Linked DNA regions of Tribolium castaneum. The protein of the gene in region 1 interacts with the protein of each later gene in a biochemical or structural test. Links are inferred from orthologs where the notes say so. Each region holds a gene or a part of one and is shown in the gene's direction. Other genes may lie near its edges.

Evidence for each region. The genes of interacting proteins can lie anywhere in the genome.
Region 2: the proteins of Cdc5 (region 1) and beta-catenin-like protein 1 form a complex in vitro, tested with the Homo sapiens proteins (3 studies listed by BioGRID and IntAct, with this or other methods). The link is inferred for Tribolium castaneum from reciprocal best matches to the Homo sapiens genes CDC5L and CTNNBL1.

What each region holds. Positions count from the first base shown.
Region 1 is NC_087400.1:3,566,993-3,571,428, reverse strand, and holds the start of Cdc5 (cell division cycle 5-like protein), read left to right. Parts: upstream 1-1,467; 5' UTR 1,468-1,672; coding exon 1,673-2,114; intron 2,115-2,258; coding exon 2,259-2,945; intron 2,946-3,735; coding exon 3,736-4,436. Other genes in the region: Yod1 (ubiquitin thioesterase Otu1), read right to left, coding at 147-359, 410-1,099.
Region 2 is NC_087398.1:8,515,372-8,519,452, reverse strand, and holds beta-catenin-like protein 1, read left to right. Parts: upstream 1-1,562; 5' UTR 1,563-1,662; coding exon 1,663-1,692; intron 1,693-1,745; coding exon 1,746-1,946; intron 1,947-2,000; coding exon 2,001-2,255; intron 2,256-2,337; coding exon 2,338-3,525; 3' UTR 3,526-3,569; downstream 3,570-4,081. Other genes in the region: Pi4KIIalpha (phosphatidylinositol 4-kinase type 2-alpha), read left to right, coding at 48-179, 229-836, 885-966; uncharacterized protein NdufA3, read right to left, coding at 1,185-1,409. UniProt on the Homo sapiens protein: Component of the PRP19-CDC5L complex that forms an integral part of the spliceosome and is required for activating pre-mRNA splicing.

The sequences.
Region 1 (4,436 bases):
AAATTGCTTAGAAAAAAACGTAGTTCGGAGAATAAAAAGGGCACAAATAGAAATAAAACACATTTGTACAAATTATTATTTATTCTTAATAAATTAATCCCCTTGAAAAAATCTAAAACAAGTCTAGAAAATGGTCACTGGCAGTGCTAGACTTCCCCGAAATTCGTATGTCCCGTACTTTGCGCATGCTCCCTTGCCTGCAATTGTCCATTAAGGAAAATATTACAATTCATGCATTTTAGCGTAAATTTGTTAACATCAGTGAATTGTCGACTCGACTTCGCCTCGCGCGCTAATTCCTGCGCCTCTTGTAAAACCTTATCATCATCAGTGGGAAAAATCGTCTGAATACTCGCCCCCTGAAACGAATCAAATAATTTTTTGATAACCCCCTGAGTAAGGAAATTACATCGGACGATTCCAAAAAAAGGGGGTCATAGTGTATACCATCAAACATTAGAAAAATTCGAAGTGTGTAATGCTGGTCTTCCCCGAACCGGTTGATAATAGCGTTGATCGTGTCTACGACGGCAATTTCGAACCCATAGTGATTCGAGAGAATGGCCAACTCGATGGCGCCCCCCCATGACTTGTCGTCCTGGATCCAGGCGCAATACTCACGGTTGGGTTTCCCCAAAATCGCCTCGGAAAACATCTCGGGGTCGCTGGCCACCGTTTCGGCAATCACTTGTCTCATGTAGGGGGCTGCCGTGCCACTCTCGTCCAGTTTCCCGTTCAGGGCGAAGTAAACACTACTGAAAAGACACGAGTTGTCGGCCGGCACCACCTTCTTCATCAGAATCCCCGGACAGTCGACACTTTCACTGATATGGCCCCGCAAGGGGGGCGCAGTCTCCCGGGCCTTCTCCTCCAAAATCAGGGTATCGCCCGACTTGAGACCACTGCGACTCAACTCGAGACCATCGTCCCCCAAGGCGAACGCCTTCGGGGGGAACCCTGACAACACATGGAGCCTGTCCTCGGGGATCTGCGATATGGAGCACAACTGGCGCTTCAAATCTTTGATCGTGTGCTCAGGTGTTAGGTTTTTGATCACTTGTTGCCCCGTTTTGGTTTTGACGCGCAAAGCGAACGACATGGTGCTCTCTGGGGGCTAATAACAATGACAGTTGGGAGTGACAAGTGACAGGAGAAGTGAGGTTAAGGGCGAAATTAAGGGCTTGGGGCCCGAATTTAGACGATTGGGGCGAAAGGGGGCAACACTTGGGCGCTTTATCACCGAGATAACATTTCAAAAGGGTTAAATAAACACAGGGATTTGGGGGGGCTAGGGACTTTCGCCGACTGACGCGAGATACCAACCACACTTTTTTAATTATTTCAAGACAGGAAAAAATTATCACGTTTTAGATCAGTCTCGTGTCACGATTAATACGTTCTAAGTACGGTTCTGATTATTTTTAATCCCCAATTTTTGTTTTTTCTCGACTAACAGTTATGCCAACTCAAGGACGGCCATTTTTATAACCAAAAATCAAGCCGTTTAAAAAGGGCCGTTTTTTGCATTAGTGTCCCAAAATAATTACTTCTTATCTAATTAGTGACTCAATAGTGTTGACCCAAGCATCATTATCGTGCTTTTAGTGGTATTGTTATAAAATTTAAGTTTTTGTCAAAAGTGAGGTTAGGTTTTTAACTAAAGAGTGCAAAAATGCCGCGTATAATGATAAAGGGGGGCGTTTGGCGCAACACCGAGGATGAGATCCTCAAAGCGGCGGTAATGAAATATGGGAAAAACCAGTGGTCTCGAATTGCCTCGCTCCTTCACCGCAAATCGGCCAAACAGTGTAAAGCGCGTTGGTTCGAATGGTTGGACCCCAGTATTAAAAAAACGGAATGGTCGCGGGAAGAGGACGAAAAGTTGCTACATTTGGCCAAGTTAATGCCGACTCAGTGGCGCACGATAGCCCCCATAATCGGGCGAACGGCCGCTCAGTGTTTGGAGCGCTACGAGTACCTCCTGGATCAGGCACAGAAGAAGGAAGAAGGGGAGGATGTCACGGACGACCCCCGGAAGCTCAAACCGGGGGAAATTGACCCCAATCCGGAAACCAAGCCTGCGAGGCCCGACCCCAAAGACATGGACGAGGATGGTAAGAGCTAACAAATGGGGTACATTTTTCTCAGTTTCAAAACACGAATTCAAAAATGCAATAAAAATTTCAAAACCGCAAAAGAATCACCCTGTATAGTATACTATAACGCAAAAAGGTTGGCACGCGTGTTTGTCGTTGCAGAGCTGGAGATGTTGTCCGAGGCGCGCGCCAGGCTTGCCAACACCCAGGGCAAAAAAGCGAAGCGAAAAGCGCGCGAAAAGCAGCTGGAAGAAGCGCGTCGATTGGCAGCACTGCAAAAAAGGCGCGAGCTTCGAGCTGCCGGCATCGAAGTGAATTCGCGTCGTAAGAAAAAACGCGGTGTTGACTACAATGAGGAAATCCCCTTCGAAAAACGTCCAGCGATTGGTTTTTACGACACTTCCACCGAAATTGTTGATCCAATGGCGCCCGATTTTCACAAAATGCGTCAACAACATCTCGACGGTGAACTGCGAAGCGAACAAGAAGAACGCGAACGTCGCAAAGATAAACAAAAATTAAAACAAAGAAAAGAAAATGATATTCCACAAGCGATGCTACAGAATCAAGAACCGGCGAAAAAACGCTCGAAATTGGTACTTCCCGAGCCGCAAATTAGCGATCTGGAGTTGCAACAAGTCGTAAAGTTGGGTAAAGCGAGTGAAGTTGCACGTGAAGTTGCAGCAGAGAGTGGAATCGAGTCGACTGATACGTTGTTCAATGATTATACGGTGGCGGCGCCACAAGCGGCAGCGGTGACTCCCCGAACTCCGGCACCGCAAACTGATCGGATACTTCAAGAAGCGCAAAATGTCATGGCTTTGACGCATGTGGATACCCCACTCAAAGGTAAAAAAAAAATCACAAAAAAATAAATAAATAATGACGTAACTCGAAGAGGAGCGAAAAAATCGAAAAATTTTATTCTTGAAAAAAAATTGCAATTTTGTAGTAGTTTACCGTCCACCAATCTGTTTTTTCAAAAAGTGAATAGTTTCGCCAAAAAATACTAAATTGCAAAGTTTGCCTCACCCGCTATATTGCTCAAAAATATCCCGAAATTAAGAACTTTTGTAAGTTCTTGATTTTTAAAAATGTGCGTAATAATAATTAAGAAAGGTACAAATAAATTAAAAAAAAATTTTTTTTTTCTTATAATACGAGCTAAATATAGAGATACAGTTAAAAGTTTTACTTTGTCACCTACCAATAAAAAAACTATTTAAGTCACAATAACTGAATACCCTGCCAAGAGCATGCCTATGTGACTTAAAATTGTTTGAAGATTCCAAATCTGTCTTTATTGGATGAAATATCAATTTTCTTGTTCATAATATGTAAAAAAAATAAAAAATAAAAAAATGAAATTGACATTAAATGACTTGTAGTTCTTTCTTTTTATTACTTTATTTGTCTCAATAACTTAATAACCAATAAAAAAATTTCTAGGTGGGTTACTACCTAAAAAATACCATAACTTCAAAACGAACGAAAAAATTAAAAAACTTTATACTTTGAAAAAAGTCCCATTTTTATAGTAGTGTACCATCCACTAATAACTTTTCCCAAAAAGTTAATAGTTTAGTCGCAAAACGCCAAACTGCAAACTTTGCCTCACCTTGTATATCTCTTTCAAAAGGGGGCCGAAACACGCCACTTCACAACTCGGATTTTTCGGGCGTTTTACCACAAGCCCTCACCATAGCCACTCCCAATACGGTCCTGGCGACCCCTTTCGGGGCCCAAACCCCCGGTTTCATGACACCGCAGGGCCCCCAAGGCAGTTTTACGCCTTCAGTTCGTGACAAACTCAATATAAATGAGGAAAACACCGAAATGGTGGCACAAACTCCAGCCGAACAGCGTTCGCTCCAAAACAATTTAAAAGAACAACTAAGACTAGGCTTAAGTAGTTTACCGACACCGAAGAACGACTACGAAATCGTCGTTCCCGAACAGGAAGAAGAGGAAAAAGAAGAAGAAAAAACGCCAAATATTGTCGAAGATCAGGCAGATGTTGATGCGCGAGCGCTTGAAGAAGCGAAAATTCGGGCGGCTCAGGAGTTAGCCCTGCGGTCGCAGGTGATTCAAAGGGGGCTGCCGCGCCCCCACGATGTAAATTTGGCCGTTTTGCGGCCGAATCACGAGTCGCATTCGTTGACCGAGCTGCAGAAAGCCGAGGAATTGATCAAGTGTGAGATGGTGACAATGTTGCAATTTGACAATTTGAAAAACCCTAACCAAGTCAAGCGCTCGGCTTTGGCTCAGGCCCAGCAGTTGGCATTCCTGGAACAGCACCCGTATGACGATTTCAAATCGGATGATTTAAAACTTGCCAAA
Region 2 (4,081 bases), on another chromosome or scaffold:
AGCTTCCGTGGTAATTAGCGCCACTTTGTTACTCCTTTGTGTCGTAGGTCGTCAAATTAGTGTCAGAAACGTTCAATTATCCTAGAATAGACAGGCAAAAAGCGCGCATGAAGCGAGCAATTATGGAGCAGTTTCCCAACGTCGGTTTAAGGTTTAACAGGATAGGTCTGCCACCAAAGGTTCCTACTTATTTATTTCACGTTTTGGAAATTTAACCCGATTTTTTAGTGTGGTTCATTCCAGTTGTTTGTAGATGGTTACAAGGACGCCGATTATTGGCTGCGGAGGTTCGAGGTGGAGCCTCTACCTCCGCGAATGGCTCAAAAATTTCAACTTCAGTTTGAACGCTTAGTCGTTTTAGATTATATAATACGAAACACGGATCGCGGAAATGATAATTGGCTTATCAAATACGAACATCCTACGATTTCTAACGGAAACGGTCCAGTAGAATTAACCGAAACCACAGAGTGGAATCTAGTTCATTTACCTGAGATAAAGGTCGCGGCGATAGACAATGGGTTGGCGTTTCCTTACAAGCATCCAGACAGCTGGAGGGCCTATCCGTACCACTGGGCATGGTTACCACAGGCTAAAGTTCCCTTCAGTAAAGAAACGAAGGATCTTGTTCTACCGTTGCTAGCCGATATGAATTTTGTGCAGGATTTATGTGATGATTTATATTTACTATTTAAGCAAGATAAGGGCTTTGACAGGAGTCTGTATGAAAGGCAAATGTCAGTGATGAGGGGCCAAATTCTTAACCTAACGCAAGCTCTGAAGGATGGGAAGTCCCCGGTGCAGCTAGTCCAAATGCCGGCTGTTGTCGTGGAAAGGTATTATTTGTTCAGTCAGTAATAATAACGCATTATTCGGTCTTTTAGGTCACAAAGCCAACAAACGTCTCGATTTTTCAACTTTACACAACGCTTCCAGGACAAGAGCCCCTTCTTCTCATGGTGTTAACAGATTTCTTTTTATATATGTATATTACGAATAGGCCAGATTTTTAATACACTATCATGTAAATACAGTACTATTTGCTGTTATTTTAACTAGGAAATTTTTTAATCAGATTATTGTTATTTTCCTTATTGGTACGGTTAAAAAAACTGATGAAATTATAATTTATTAAACAAAACAAATGGTACTACAATAAAACGTATATTGATTATCTAGTGTCTTTAATCCTTCCTAACTTTTTCTGCGCGGGGATCATCATGACGAATCACTGTGTATTCGATTTTGTACCGTCTGTTGTCCCCGTCTTTAACATTGTAGTATAAATGAAAAGAGATAGCCCCCAGCCCAAGTCCAATGAGAGCCATTACACCACTGCCCATCACATCAGGAATCTCATGCCAACCACGTTTTAGTAAACCAATGGAAGCTCGACCTGACGCCGACATTGTGCTACAAAAACTTATAAATTCCCGAATTTAATTAATTTGGACCTTGTGTACCTGTTATATAATTTTTATTATTTGTTACAATTGGAAATAACCTTACAATCCCCTGACAAGTTTTTGACAGTTAAAATGTCAAATTTCTAGTGACTTAATTTTTTATTCTCTAGCAATTTTAAAAATTTATAGGTTAAATTCACAGAAATTTGACATAAACAAAGAGGTTAGTTATTAAGTTTCCCAAAAAACCTTAAAAATGGATATTGGTGAATTACTGGACTACAAAGTAAGTCAACACATTTGACGAAATTCATTTCTAATACAAAATTCCGACTGTAGCCCCCTCAAGGCGTAAAACGCCCAGTCGAGAATGAAAACGATGAAATCGAAAAACAGAGAAAAATGCGGCGAATTGCACGGGATAAAGCCAATAGAATGTCCCGTGCCGCATCCCCAACCCCGTCAATACAAACTTTGGACCAGATATCCGAAGAAGAAAGACAAGAAATATTAAAATTTGTGGAAACTGAACAAACAGAAGTATCTCCTCAGTCAGTTCCAAGCCCATTCGTTTACAACTAGACTGTGTTTCAGGGCGAAGTCATTGACGAAGCGGCAATCAAGCGAATTGTTCTAAATTTCGAAAAACGGAGTCTCAAAAACAGAGAAATGAGGATCAAGTTTCCAGACTCGCCTGAAAAGTTTATGGAGAGCGAGCTCGAACTACATGAAATTTTACAAGAAATGAGGGTGTTATCGACCGCACCTGACTATTACCCCCTTCTTGTGAAGCTGCAAGTCATACCCAGCTTGCTGGAACTGTTGGCACATGATAACACTGATGTGGCAGTAAGTAAAAATAATAAACGTTATTGTAAATATCAAGAACAGTTAGCAGCTGTTATCTTTATTGCATTAAAAAATGTGTCAGGTGGCGACCGTGGAGCTGTTGCAAGAACTGACCGATGTGGACATCCTCCACGAGTCTGAAGAAGGTGCCGAAGCCCTAATTGACGCCTTGCTCGACCACCAAGTGATAGCCCTCCTCGTCCAAAACCTGGACCGTTTGGACGAAAAAGTGAAGGAGGAAGCAGACGGTGTCCACAACTCCCTATCAATAATAGAAAACTTGACCGAACTCCGCAATGACATTTGCAACGAGGCCACCAAACAGGGCTTGCTCCAGTGGCTCTTGAAACGGTTGAAAGTCAAAGCCCCTTTCGACGCCAACAAACTCTACGCCAGCGAACTCCTCTCAATCCTGCTCCAAGACAACGAAAAAAACCGAACTGCTTTGGGCGAAATGGACGGAATCGACACTTTGTTGCAACAGTTGGCCTTCTACAAGCGCCACGACCCCTCCAGTGCCGAAGAACACGAGCTAATGGAGAACCTGTTCAACTGTTTGTGCAGCGCACTGATGATCGTCTCAAACCGAGACCGGTTTCTCAAAGGCGAGGGCTTGCAACTGATGAATTTGATGCTCAGAGAGAAGAAAACCTCGCGGAACGGCTCACTTAAAGTGCTGGATTACGCAATGTCGGGCCCCCATGGCAAAGACAATTGCAACAAGTTCGTGGATATTTTAGGCCTGCGGACCATTTTCCCCCTATTTATGAAAACGCCGAAGAAGAACAGGAAGAAAGTCTTGTCGACGGAAGAGCACGAAGAGCACGTCACTTCGATTATCGCGTCCATGCTGCGGAATTGTCGCGGGTCGCAGAGACAAAGGCTCATTAGTAAATTTACGGAAAATGATCACGAGAAAGTCGACAGGTTGCTTGAGCTACACTTCAAATATTTGGAGAAGGTTGAAGCCATTGATGAGGCCATTGAGGAGGAAAATGGAGTTGAGGATGATGATGCGAGTTATATGAAGCGGCTGGAAGGAGGATTGTTCACGTTGCAGTTGGTGGATTATATTATTGTGGAAGTTTGTGCTGCGGGACCCGCCAGTATTAAGCAGCGAGTTATGCAAATCCTCAATCTTAGGGGGGCTTCGTTGAAGACGATAAGGCACATTATGCGGGAATATGCCGGGAATTTGGGGGACGAAGGGGATAAGGAGTGGAGGGATCAGGAGCAGCAACACATTTTGCACTTAGTTGATAAGTTTTGATATGTTATTGCCATTACTTCGAATAAAAATTATTTCATTTGGTATTTTCCTAATTTCTCGTCACAAGGGATTTTGCAGTGTTCAAAAATTATAATCACTTTATTAACAGCCAACGGATCTTTTAAAAACAAAGACACTACACTTGACTCAAGTACAAACACTAAAACACTTCTTTCTAAGACTAAAAATAAGTAATAAACGTAACAAAATAAGCATAATGTAGGTTGTACAATTTAATTCTTTTATCTGTTTTTGGCCATCAATATAATACCTGGAAAGGTCAATACTGTATTTATGTTCAGTGAAGTGTTGATTATTGTATCACTGTTTTTTTTTATATTCATTAAAAGTATTGCTCTAGCATTTGTTTATGTTACCTTATAACAACGAGTTTTAAATTAACATTATTACGTTACTCCTGTTGGAGCCAAAAATTACACAAAAATAGACTTTAATACTTTCTTATCCTACAAATATAGTGCCATCAAAAATTTCAAATTATGTGCGTTGAACAGTAGTAATTACTTGGCATGCCTCCGATGTTGGCAAAACTGAA